3 linked regions of the Oreochromis niloticus genome follow. The protein of the gene in region 1 interacts with the protein of each later gene in a pairwise test. Links are inferred from orthologs where the notes say so. Each region holds a gene or a part of one and is shown on either strand. Other genes may lie near its edges. The genes, in order: banp, lmo3 and nrip2.

The links.
Region 2: the proteins of banp (region 1) and lmo3 interact in binary tests that used the Homo sapiens proteins (3 or more experiments, as listed by UniProt). The link is inferred for Oreochromis niloticus from reciprocal best matches to the Homo sapiens genes BANP and LMO3.
Region 3: the proteins of banp (region 1) and nrip2 interact in binary tests that used the Homo sapiens proteins (3 or more experiments, as listed by UniProt). The two-hybrid records come from large-scale screens. The link is inferred for Oreochromis niloticus from reciprocal best matches to the Homo sapiens genes BANP and NRIP2.

What each region holds. Positions count from the first base shown.
Region 1 is NC_031972.2:56,896,079-56,899,833, reverse strand, and holds the start of banp (protein BANP), read right to left. Parts: upstream 2,333-3,755; 5' UTR 2,064-2,332; intron 1-2,063. UniProt on the Homo sapiens protein: Controls V(D)J recombination during T-cell development by repressing T-cell receptor (TCR) beta enhancer function. Binds to scaffold/matrix attachment region beta (S/MARbeta), an ATC-rich DNA sequence located upstream of the TCR beta enhancer.
Region 2 is NC_031981.2:699,780-703,534, reverse strand, and holds the start of lmo3 (LIM domain only protein 3), read left to right. Parts: upstream 1-1,319; 5' UTR 1,320-2,344; intron 2,345-3,280; exon of another isoform or gene 3,281-3,755.
Region 3 is NC_031981.2:17,135,431-17,139,185, forward strand, and holds the start of nrip2 (nuclear receptor-interacting protein 2), read right to left. Parts: upstream 3,000-3,755; 5' UTR 2,260-2,999; coding exon 2,104-2,259; intron 1-2,103. UniProt on the Homo sapiens protein: Down-regulates transcriptional activation by nuclear receptors such as NR1F2.

The sequences.
Region 1 (3,755 bases):
CTGCCATGTTTTCTATACCCTGTACAAAATCCCTTGTTTAGATGAGTTAGTGAAACAAATTAATCAGCCCTTCTGTGATACAACATACACCCTCTTTATTGGACAAGAGTGAAACCATTGATAACCTTACATCTGTCCATTACCAGTCATTTAATTTTGTACAAACCCACTCTTCCTAGTTTGTGTCTTTTTCTGTCTGACCAGATGCATCTTTCTGCATCATCTTTTCGACTTATCACCTTATAGTTATCAGGAAATGAGAAATCATATCCTTCCTTCTTACTAAAACTGATTCTTAAGTACGATTTCACTAACTCAGAGGGTATAGCAACTGTGGCGGTTTGTTTTGAAGCAACAACTGTAATCGCCACATTTAAAAAAAAAAAAAATTCCTTACAATAGTATTTTGACTTTAATCTCAAAGCAATTGAGAATATATTTTTTCTTAATGTGGTCCTAATACTTATACATACTCCAAGTTAGGATTACACTTTTAATAAGCTACCTTTACACAACAAATAATTGACAAAGTAACTGCCACAAAACTGTCAAATTCAGTCACCCAATAAAGATCTAACACTTGCACACTCCAAACTAATTTACTTTTTCAAGTTGCAGTAGAGTATTTGCAACCTTTGATCCCTGTATCAGTCCACTTGAATACATGAACTAAGTTGTCCTGTTTTGAGCCTGTATGTATAGCCAAATATTGAAAAAAATTCTGTATTATTCACCAGATTTTAGCTGCTGCTTTTCATTTGTTGCATTGCTTTATTTGCCTAAGTTCAGTTTCCCTACTCTTTGTGTCAAAACTGCACAATTGCTTTAGTGATTTGTCCACATTTTGGAAAGAAAATGTTGCAGCAGTAATACAAATGCTAACACCAACACATTTTTAGCGCACTTGTGGAACTTTTTAAAAAAAAATCTATTACTCCAAAAATGCACAGCACCTCAATTAAAATGTGTGAGAGAAGGACCCATCCATTGCAAATACAAGGCTTATATCCTCATAACAGCCACGAATAAACTAACAATCATGTTGTGTGTATGAGAAATTATATCCAGAGTCATAATCTTGCAGCTTTGTCTTCCTGATTCATTTCCTCGTTTTCCAAACATGGCAAAAAAGCATAGATGCATGAGGAAAAATTACAATAATAATCAAAGTACGACATTTTATGTGGGCTCGGCTCTACGTAGCTTACAAAAGCATCGATGGCAGCTTAAGAGTAATAGTTTGTGACATTACTTTAAATAAAAAAACGAATAATAAATGTGTGCTTTGTCCTTAAACTTACACAAAGGAAACTTTGTTACTGGAGACACATACCATTTATATAAGGGGGTTTATCTGAATGGTATGCCCAACATAAAATGAGCGATAATCAGTTTTAGAGTAGCCCAACTAAATTAAGCCCTATGTAAAACGGTCTGAAATTGCAAAAGCTCCTGGCGCTTTTTTTTAAGCGCAACCGTTACCTGTGATAGTGGCTAGCTATAAGGAAACACAGCTGTTTCAGACCATTTTCTTTAGACTTTAGCTGCTTAGCCTAGATTACTACAGTTTGCTACAAATATAAAGAAAAAGCACGGAGCTGGTAAACGTCTACTAGCCCAACTAACGAGCTTTAGATTGGTTAGTTAACTGGGCGGGGGTCTGACGATGCTAAATACAGGCGAATAAACGGAGGAAAACAAACTTGGAGCATCAATTTGTTATGCATTTATGTAATGCGACTAGACATGCGGTGCAAAACTACTGTACTACGGATATTTAATTTATTTTTCACTAGTTAATTAGCGTCACCAAAATCATAACTAGCAGCTAATGTTAGCTGCCGCTACAAAATCGGATTTGAAAGCTTGCATGCTAACTTAAAGGAGACGCTATTTAAGCTAGCGTGGTAGTTAGCATGCTAGTTGGGCATGTAGGCCTTTGAAGCGTAATGCAAGATTCGTTTAATGCTGAAGCAACCGTTAAATTAATTGTGATTTTGATGCAGCTTCTCTTCTCATTCTCGCACACAACACATGTACCGTGTAAGATTGGGTTATATTACCGTGTGAATGGTGAATTCTCGTGTTGTTTGTAGAGTTTCCGATAATGGCGTCGTTCCTCGCGAGAGATGAGACCTTGCCTTCGTGTGCTTCACACACGGAGGTTTCCTCAACGCTCATTCAAGGGAGCTCAGTCTGCAGGAGACCGCTCGTCACCGCTGCAGACGCCAGTCACAGACTGCACGACTGCTTCTTTTCAAGCTGTTTTATCTAAATCTGAAAAAAGCCGACATCCATTAAATTGTACAGTTTATTCGACATCATCATAATACCGCATGATAATAACTGCGCCAAAGCACAGTATCTTAATAAAGCCTCTGTGGCAAGCAGCGAGATTGCATAAACGGATAACATGTTTGTTTAACCCTGTATTTTTTAACCGTCCAGTAAACGTTTCTTACATTCATTGTAATCCAACTCCTCAGGGTTGTTTGTTATCTTGATTTAATCCAAGCCTTTGTTTGCATCCGTAGATACCTTAGAGTATATATTACTGTATTTTAGTATTTTTGTTTCCCAGTGATTGGAGCAAATGGGTTTATTTTCCTCTACATTATTTACCCTCTTATGTAGATGATTTGGCACAAGATATTAAGCAGCCCACTAACTATTGTTCACAATGTAAATGACTCTGATGTTTATTTCTGAGACAGATAATTAGCAAAATGATAATATACAACAACCAAAAAGGAAATTCAACTGAAACATTACAAAATCCAAGGTCAGCTGAAGCGCAAGTGTATTTTTATCAAGCGTTTTACATGTACTTGTTTGGTCTTCAGTGAACATATAGAGGAGTTTATTATAATCAAATAAACACGTTAACAATAGAGGAAGATTAATACATGCAAAATGTTGCAGGATAAGGAAGAATAACTTAATATATTACAAATAATATATTTTATTTTATGTATTAATATCATAGAATATGCCAATATCTAGTATAGAGCATATTGCTTTGCATTAAAATGTAACTCTCTCAAGGAATGAAAACAACAGCTGTGGTGAAGAGGTGATGAGTGCTACAAGTAAAAGCAGCAAATGACCAGCAGGTGGAGCCACTGGCAGGCTCAGTCCATCTTTCAGCTAGGCAGGGATTTGACACACTGTTTTTAGGCATCTTTGTGTTCCACTGGGTAATAAAAGAATAAGAAAATGCAGCAGATAGTATGTTATTACACTCACTAAATTAAGTGTCTATTAACTCTCCACAAGTGGTTGCACTGTTCATTATTAAGAGCTGTATAGGTAGAGCTAGATAGCATTATTTAAAAGGACTCAGGTTCAGTTCGTAGTACTAATTGTAATGCAGAAGGGCTGTGCCTGACTGGAATTCATGTCGGCCTAAAATATATTAAAAATAACATATTCTTATATGCACACCAGTGTGCTACCATGGGAGAATTTCCTGCCATACATCTCCTCTGATATGTCTAAAAAAGACTTTCCTCATTCAACCTGGTAAGTTTAGATTCATATGCCTAGGAAGAGGTGTCAGTTTCCAGTAGTCACGATGAAAAATATTAGATCTTTCATACTGCTGTGTAAGGTTAACCTACTGTCACTCGTCTAATCAGAACTTGGAGTGCAAAAAGCAGAGAGGATATTTTGGTAGCGTATGGGGATGTTTGAGTTGCTTTCTGGTGTTTTCTGTTGAAAACAGTATGCACTATACATGGTTTACTCATTTCCCT
Region 2 (3,755 bases), on another chromosome or scaffold:
GCTTTACATGACTCTAATATAACTTTGGGTTTTACCTGGTTTTGATCTCTGCTTCCTGTAATGTTTAGTCTTAATTTAGATCAGCAAGCAAAATTTCTTATATTAATACGTTTTTCTAATGACTTGCTTAAACAAGTTTACACAGCAATAAACAAATATTTTTGGTTTAATATTTGAATATCAAAAGAAAAACCAGTAATGTACAAAAATATTGGGATGAGAAGTTTTTTTTATCAGATGTTTGTTTTATTGTAAAATTGAAATTCATTTTATATTTGCAAATCTGTCCACATGTAGCGTGTTCAGAATATTTCTACTTACAGGACAGTTAGAAACAAACGCCTACTGTGTGTGTGTGTGTGTGTGTGTGTGTGTGTGTGTGTGTGTGTGTGTCTGTCTGTCTGTCTGTCTCTATAATGGAACATGTCTCTAACATGAACACTGAAGGTCACTAACATAGACTAATAACATGTACTGTGTGTCAGGTTATTTCCACATGCACGCGGCTTGTTACCAAATTTTCACGACTTCTGGCCCCAGAATCGGCCAGCAAAGATTCCAATATGGCCCCTGCATGGCTTTGAAAAATATGAAGGCAGGCATGTAATTTTGGGCTTTTAACTGGTTTTGTTTATAAGTTTTAACAGCTTTTCCTGCTGATACAGAGCTCCTCCACAGCCATTACATATTACACAGTCGTTACATTAATTCTTTATAATTAATAGATAAAGAATTAAAGGAAAGGTTCTGTTTTTCACTGTCTACTATAGAAATGTTAGTTTTTAAATTTCATCAATCAACAATTTTTTTCCATATTTATAAAACAATAAACAACAACGTTTTTCTGTATTTTGACACATTTATCATGTAGAAAAATTGATACATGTGTTTGAAACTGCACTTCTTCAGCTTACGTTGAGATCAGGGATTGAGGGGTTTGCTCAGTTAGGACCAAAGTGGGCTCGATGTTCCTGAACCAGATGATCAGGACAAACAAACAAACACTGCCAGTTAGCCACCGGGCTTTAACTTGTCCTGTGAGGCCTGCGGGTGCATACCATGTTGATATCTCCTGTTATGAAAACATTCTCACATGGCAACAGTATGTGTCCCATTTCCTGACATCATCAAAAACAATTTTGTTACATTTGTGAAAACTTAAAGATCTGGGAACAATATTTCCCACATCGTTATTATTTCCCCAATACTTTATTAGTTTTCATCATAAAGAGTTTTTTATGTCATGCAAAAGTAGGACATTACCCTCTACTCGACGCTTTCTGTTTCAGCATTCGGGCTAATGAAAAGGGCTACAGGAGTGACACTGACTGGTACTATTAAGCTACATTATCACTACTCTGTAGCTCCTGGCATCTCCACCCAACGCCTTTTCTATTCAAAGTTGGCATCAGAGGAATTATTTGAGGTAAGAGATGAAGACAAATATTACCATTAGGATGTTTTATGGCGTATGTCGACTCAGTTTTCCCCCTCGCTCGCTCTCCCTTTTCTCCATCTGTGCCACTCACTTTCTCTCTGTCTGTCTCCCAACGGGGATGAAAAGGCAAGGAGAGAGAAAGGAGGAATAGAAAACTGAGTGAGCGCTGTCAATAGCAGTGAGTTCACTGCTAATCTGGCTACACTACAAAGGTTAGCAGATCTGACTGTCAATAGTGTCTTGTGGGGAGGAGGGAGGAGACACGGAGGTGAGGTGGTGTAGGGAGGGGTGGTCGCTTTGAGAGAAAGAGATACTTTGATATTTCGGAATGTTAGAAGGGTGAATGTGGAGAACTGGAGGTTGGGGATCTAATTACCGGGCCATAATTGGGGGCTGGGGAATAGGTTGCCGTCCTCTCAACTCGCTGCAGATCAATTATGTTAAGAGAACATCTGTAAGTAGAGCTTAATGAGGTCCATTAGAGCAACATGCGCTGCCTTCCCTAACGGTGCTTGTCAGCTTCTTGGATGAGCTGGAGTGTGCTGCCGACTGGGGACCTTGTGGAGGGGCTTAAATAGGAGAGGAGGCTCGACTGTGCGCTGCTTTTCCCTGTCAGAGAAACAGAGAGACACAAGCAGGGAAGGAGAAGGGGGAAAGGGATGCTCTGTGAGAGAGCTGCAGGAGTCACAGAGCAGCAAGGGGAGCAGAGTTTAGGGTCAAAGCTCAACTATTAACAGTTATCAAACCATAAAACTTTGGCGGCAAAGTTTTCTTTAGAAAAGCGGGAGCTGGCCGAGCTCTCAGAAAGTTACCTTCTGGAGATTTTCATTCAAAGTCAAGAGAACACAGAAGACACGAACCACGGCAGTATTTGTTTTGGGCGTCCCTGGCTGTAGCTCCTTCAAGGTATGTGTTATAAGTGCTCTGCTTTTCTTGGTTCTAAGTTAAAGCTTAGCCACAGCGAGGGCTGCGTGTAAAGTGCTGGTTGAGCTCCCAGGGAAGAGATCGGATGGAAATGTAGCAGATTTGCTTCCTCCTGAAATGTCATTTATGCAAGGCTGTTCAGAGCGTGTCTGGTTTTGGTGCACGTTCGTCTTCATTACAGGCTGATGGTTGGGGTCATAGCATATAACAGAAGTCCCCTCTCTCCGGTTTTGCGTTTGGCAGGAGTACTGTATGGTGCATGAGAAGACCGGGCTAGCCGCGCGATGCTCGCCGCTCCCCCGCTCTCCACATACACTCCTGCTTTCTGTCTTCATCTTATATTCATACGGAGAATGAATAATTGGCTGAACACAGCAAGTGAAAGGAGGGTGGAAGGGCACCAGGAGAGGGGTGGAAGCCTCACACACACTGCACACACACTGCAGCAGATTGCATGATTACCGAGATAGGCCTCCTTGAAATAATTCAATCCATGACAAAACCTAATTACTGGCAGGTAATACCCTGTCAGCTTTAATGCATCTCATCACTCATAATGGCGCGGAGAGCATTTTATGACCCAACTCATTATTGCTGCATTTTTGGCTGGAGTCACATGCCAACTATTGACTTGTGTCTCCTCCTTCTGTGCCTTCCACACTTTCATTTGTCTATCATCATATTTATACGATGTATCTGTGTGTGTGATAGGGAGCAGTGGTGCGGTGGGGAGGAAGGTTTGGGGTAACCATACCGTGACACTCGGGCCTCCTCGCTGCCTCGTCTCATCTAAACTAGGTCGCTAATTGATGCACGACTTGACGCGAAAACCTGGTGAATGTATTTTTCCTTTAATACAAGAATGATTAAAAGCAACTATGGAGAGATGATAATCCGAGTTGTTGATGTTAACCCAGCTGGAGACCTCCCTTTGCCATTAAAGAAAGAACTGGCACAGGCTGGTGTCATCACAGAGCCATTATATGCACTGGGATGTTTGCATTTTCTCACACTAGTCTTTTACCAAACAAAAGTGCAAGCAGTAGACAGTACTTTCTTTTTCTTTCTTTTTTTTGGCTTAAGCTCGGACTGATCTTTTTAAATGTTAATAATTAGAACCCTGTGCAGATGTAACACTGTAGGACAAACCACGACTCTGGCCAAATACCTGAAATAAACAATGCAAGGAGTTACATCTGTGACTCTCTGAGAGCTGCTCATCTCAATATTAGTATCAGTGTTAGAAGTAAACTGCTCTACCTACACGTGGACTATTGCATTTGCTTCTGTGTCTATAATGTAGGCCCCAGGAACCATCTACACGCACCCGTGGCTCCAAAATCAAAGAAAGTGGGCGTGTACGGGAGGCATCCTTTAGCCAAACAGCTGCTAA
Region 3 (3,755 bases), on another chromosome or scaffold:
GCGCTGCCAGAGCTGCTTTCCTGTGCCAGCGTGACTGTGCTCAGGTTCTCAGAGAGCTCTGGGGAATCTGCGAAGCTGCCGCCATCAAAACAGAACTGTGTCAGAGGAGAGCTTGAGTAATAAATTGCTGAGATTATTACAGGGAGTTCCTCCAGAGTGTACATAACAACTTCGGTTTAGTGAGGTTTCTGGGGGAAGAGGAAGTGAGCAGGTCAGACTTGCCCCACTTTACTTGCAGGGCTGTCTTTCATCCTGTATGTCAACCCTTAAAGTGTGTGTCTGTTTCCAAGTGTGCGCTGACTTCAGTCTCTATTTGAGAGGCCTGCTCAGTGAACTGTAAACTCCTTTGACAAGACGTTCGCCCCTCTGTATGCAGAGTGCACGACTGTGAATGTTTTATGAATCTTTATTTTAGAGGTTACACTTAATGGCCATGCAGTAACCAGAGGATTTGCAGCTTTTCTCCATTTTATATTGTTATAAAGTGGTTTTGGACAGCTGGTCTGATATTATTAAAAAAGGATGTAATTTTGGACTCAGGGATGGAAATTTAACTTTTTTCACAGTTAATCCAAATAATTAATCAACAGTGGAGAGAATAATGGCTGTCAAAGTGGCAGTGAAGTGATTAGCTCCATTGGGTCTTAAGAAACACTGCTGCATATGCTAAAAATGTTAAATACAGGCTTCAGCGTTTGCAGAGCGAGCAAAACGTGACCAAGGTGGCATACAAAGCCTGTAAATAAAAGATGGACATTGCGACCATGCCAAGACCGACTGGCCATGGGCTCCAAATTGCAAAGCCTCAGTGAAGTATTGTTTTGAGTATTGTGTTTCACAGCCAGAAGATACCATATTTGGAAAAGAGTGTGGAGTGCTAGCATGGGTGCAGTCGTCAGAATACTAAAAAACTCAAGCCCAAGTTTCTTAGACAGGTTATACCTCACTGCAAGCTATAATATTATTTAGATAATTCAATTAGGGATCTGCCAGAAAGCGCAAACATGTGCATGTTTGATTCAGGATGACTGGATGAATCCATCCTGTATCTGCAATGGTAAATTATATCTGATGTTTTCTGGCTGTTACTTTTTTGTCATTTAATTCTGATAATTTTGTGTCCAGTTACAGTGCAGTTAAGGTGGTGCCTAAAAGTTAAAGCAGCAAAATTGTCTTTGTTTTTTCCAGTAACCCCTGTCACTGTCATTTCATTTGGCTGTGAAATCACTGCGGTCAGAGAGCCATACACAGGGTTACTTTATGCCTCACTGTCTTACATGGTGAGTGTAGCTGTACGTTCTACTTGACAGCAAACTCAACATCCATCCATCCATCATTTTTCATTGTGAGGCAGGAGGCTAAGCAGCCACACTTCCCACTTCCTCCTGGGAGATCCTGAGGTGTTCCCAGGACAGACGAGACATATAATCTCTCCGGCGCATTCTGATTCTACCCTGGGGTTTTCCTCCCAGTTGTGCATTCCCAGAAAACCTCCAAAGGGAGGAATCCCTCCTCTAACCAGATGCATCAACCACCTCAACTGGCTCCTTAACATAAAGGAGCAGGGGCCTTATTCCGAGTTCCTCACCGTGCCCCTAAGGCTAAACGGAGCTGGGGTAGTTTAAGCCAATTTTTTGCTTACTGTACAATTTTTTTGTGCAAAGCAAGGAATAACCTGGCAACCTTCAAACGATTTCTTTATTTGACCGCTCTATCTACAACCTCCTCAATCATCCACCGACTCTTTCAGCTCTTGGGTGTCTCAGCACACCCTTCTACACCATATAGTGTTGTTGGTGCAGCAATCATAGGGCTGTAGGTTTATTTCCAGCCAATCGAATGCCATCAAAATACACAACAATCATTGGCCATAATCGACAAGGGAAGCTGTATTCAAGTCGAACAAAGAACACAAACAACATAATCACATCACATCACAAAATCCCAACCCAAACTGTTGCAGCTGGGTCAAAGTGTGGGTTAGGTGAGCAGCAGGTTTTGGCAAATTAACCTGCTCACTGCAGACCTTTGCCAGGTGCCAAGCACCTGCATGCACATCACCGCCTCTCCAATTGAGTTCAGACACTCATGCAGCTCACTCACCAAGTCTTTAGACGTGCCCAGTCTCTTCAGACCATCCAGGGGCAGGAGGTCAGCAGAGTCCTTGTGTGTGAACTGGGTGGCCTGCTTCAGACGCCTCTGCTGGTGCAGGATGGCTTTATCCCGGATTGCTATCTCTCCTTTTTTCGCCTCACTCATTGTCTCAGGCTTTTAAAATCAGTCCTTTCTGATGCTGTGCAAGGGAGCACGGAGACTGTAACCTCACAGCGGCAGCAGAAGAGGAGAAACCCCTCCAAAGAACGTAAAGCTCTTGTCCTCTTTAAGGTCCTCAGCAGCAGAATAAACCTCTAAACGTTGCCTCTGTTGCTCTCTCTGAAATGCTGCTGTATAGTCCTCAGCATGTATTTCTCCCAGGAGCTATTGTCCTGCTCCTTTCATGTGCATCTTTCCTCACAACGTCAAGATCTGCTGAGTCTCTCACAGAGGCTGCGAGGCTGTGTGGAAGGTGTGACAGAGTCTGTGTAAGTGTTTCCTCCCCTCCCCTCAGAGCCGTCTGTCCTTGTATCGCTCTCTCTCTCTCTCTCTCTCACATATACATCTCTGCCTTCAGTAGTGTTTCTCTCTCTCTCCTCTCAGCCTTCCTCTTCCCCTCACCCCCAAAACACTGAGCATATTTTCCCAGCTGACTCTTTGTACATCAGACCTCACCGCTCCCCTGCTAATCTGTAACCACATTCTTAACCATCACAGCAAGCATTTTCTGCCTCGTCTAGTCTTTTAAACTGGCACAGCCACCCACACGCACAGTCTGTCACTCCTGTGTGTTGCTTCTGAGCCCAACACAGTTTGCAGCATCAGTCCCCCCGAGCTCAACAGCGGTAGCCCCCCGCTGTGTAGGTGCGAGAGCTCACTGTGGTCCGACCCCAAACGGGATCAATCTGCACCACCGATGGCAACAATTGATTTCCCTCCCGCCTGAATTAAAGAATCCATTTTCTTCTTTCCATCCATCCACACCACCAAAAGCTATAAATATCCCATCCATCATGACCTCTACGCGATGACACATTTTTATACAGCAGTGGTGATTTGGCCTAGAGGTGTGGAGGGTTTCCTTGAAGTGTAGTAAGCGCTGCTCATTTATCTGTCACAGTGTTTAATGAGTGTATCCTTGCAGAGGGTGCGTGCTAATATATATATAAAAAAGACATGACTGCTTTTTTAAAGTATATAATTTTCATCTGGCAGAGGGAGTCCTTGTGAAGGTGAAGTGGAAAATACTGCTGAGGGATTTGATGTTTATGTGCTGCCACCTGCTGGTTGAGTTTTTCCGCCTAACATGCATCTTTTCTATCAGTAAAGGAAGGTTTTGAAACCCCTAAATCAGGGGTGTCAAACTCCAGGCCTTGAGGGCCAGGGGTGTCAAACTCCAGGCCTTGCAGGTTTTAGATATCACCCTGGGTCAACACACCTGAATGAAATGATTAGTTAATTACCAGGCCTCTGGAGAACTGTAAGACATGTTGAGGAGGTCATTTAGCCTTCAGCTGTGCTGGATCAAGGACACCGGGCCTTGAGGCCTGGAGTTCGACACCTGTGCCCTAAATCATAAAACACCTATGCCCTTCCACATTATCTCTGGGTCAATTACAATGGCAATGCAAGACAAGCGCTGAGGCACAACCAGCCATTAT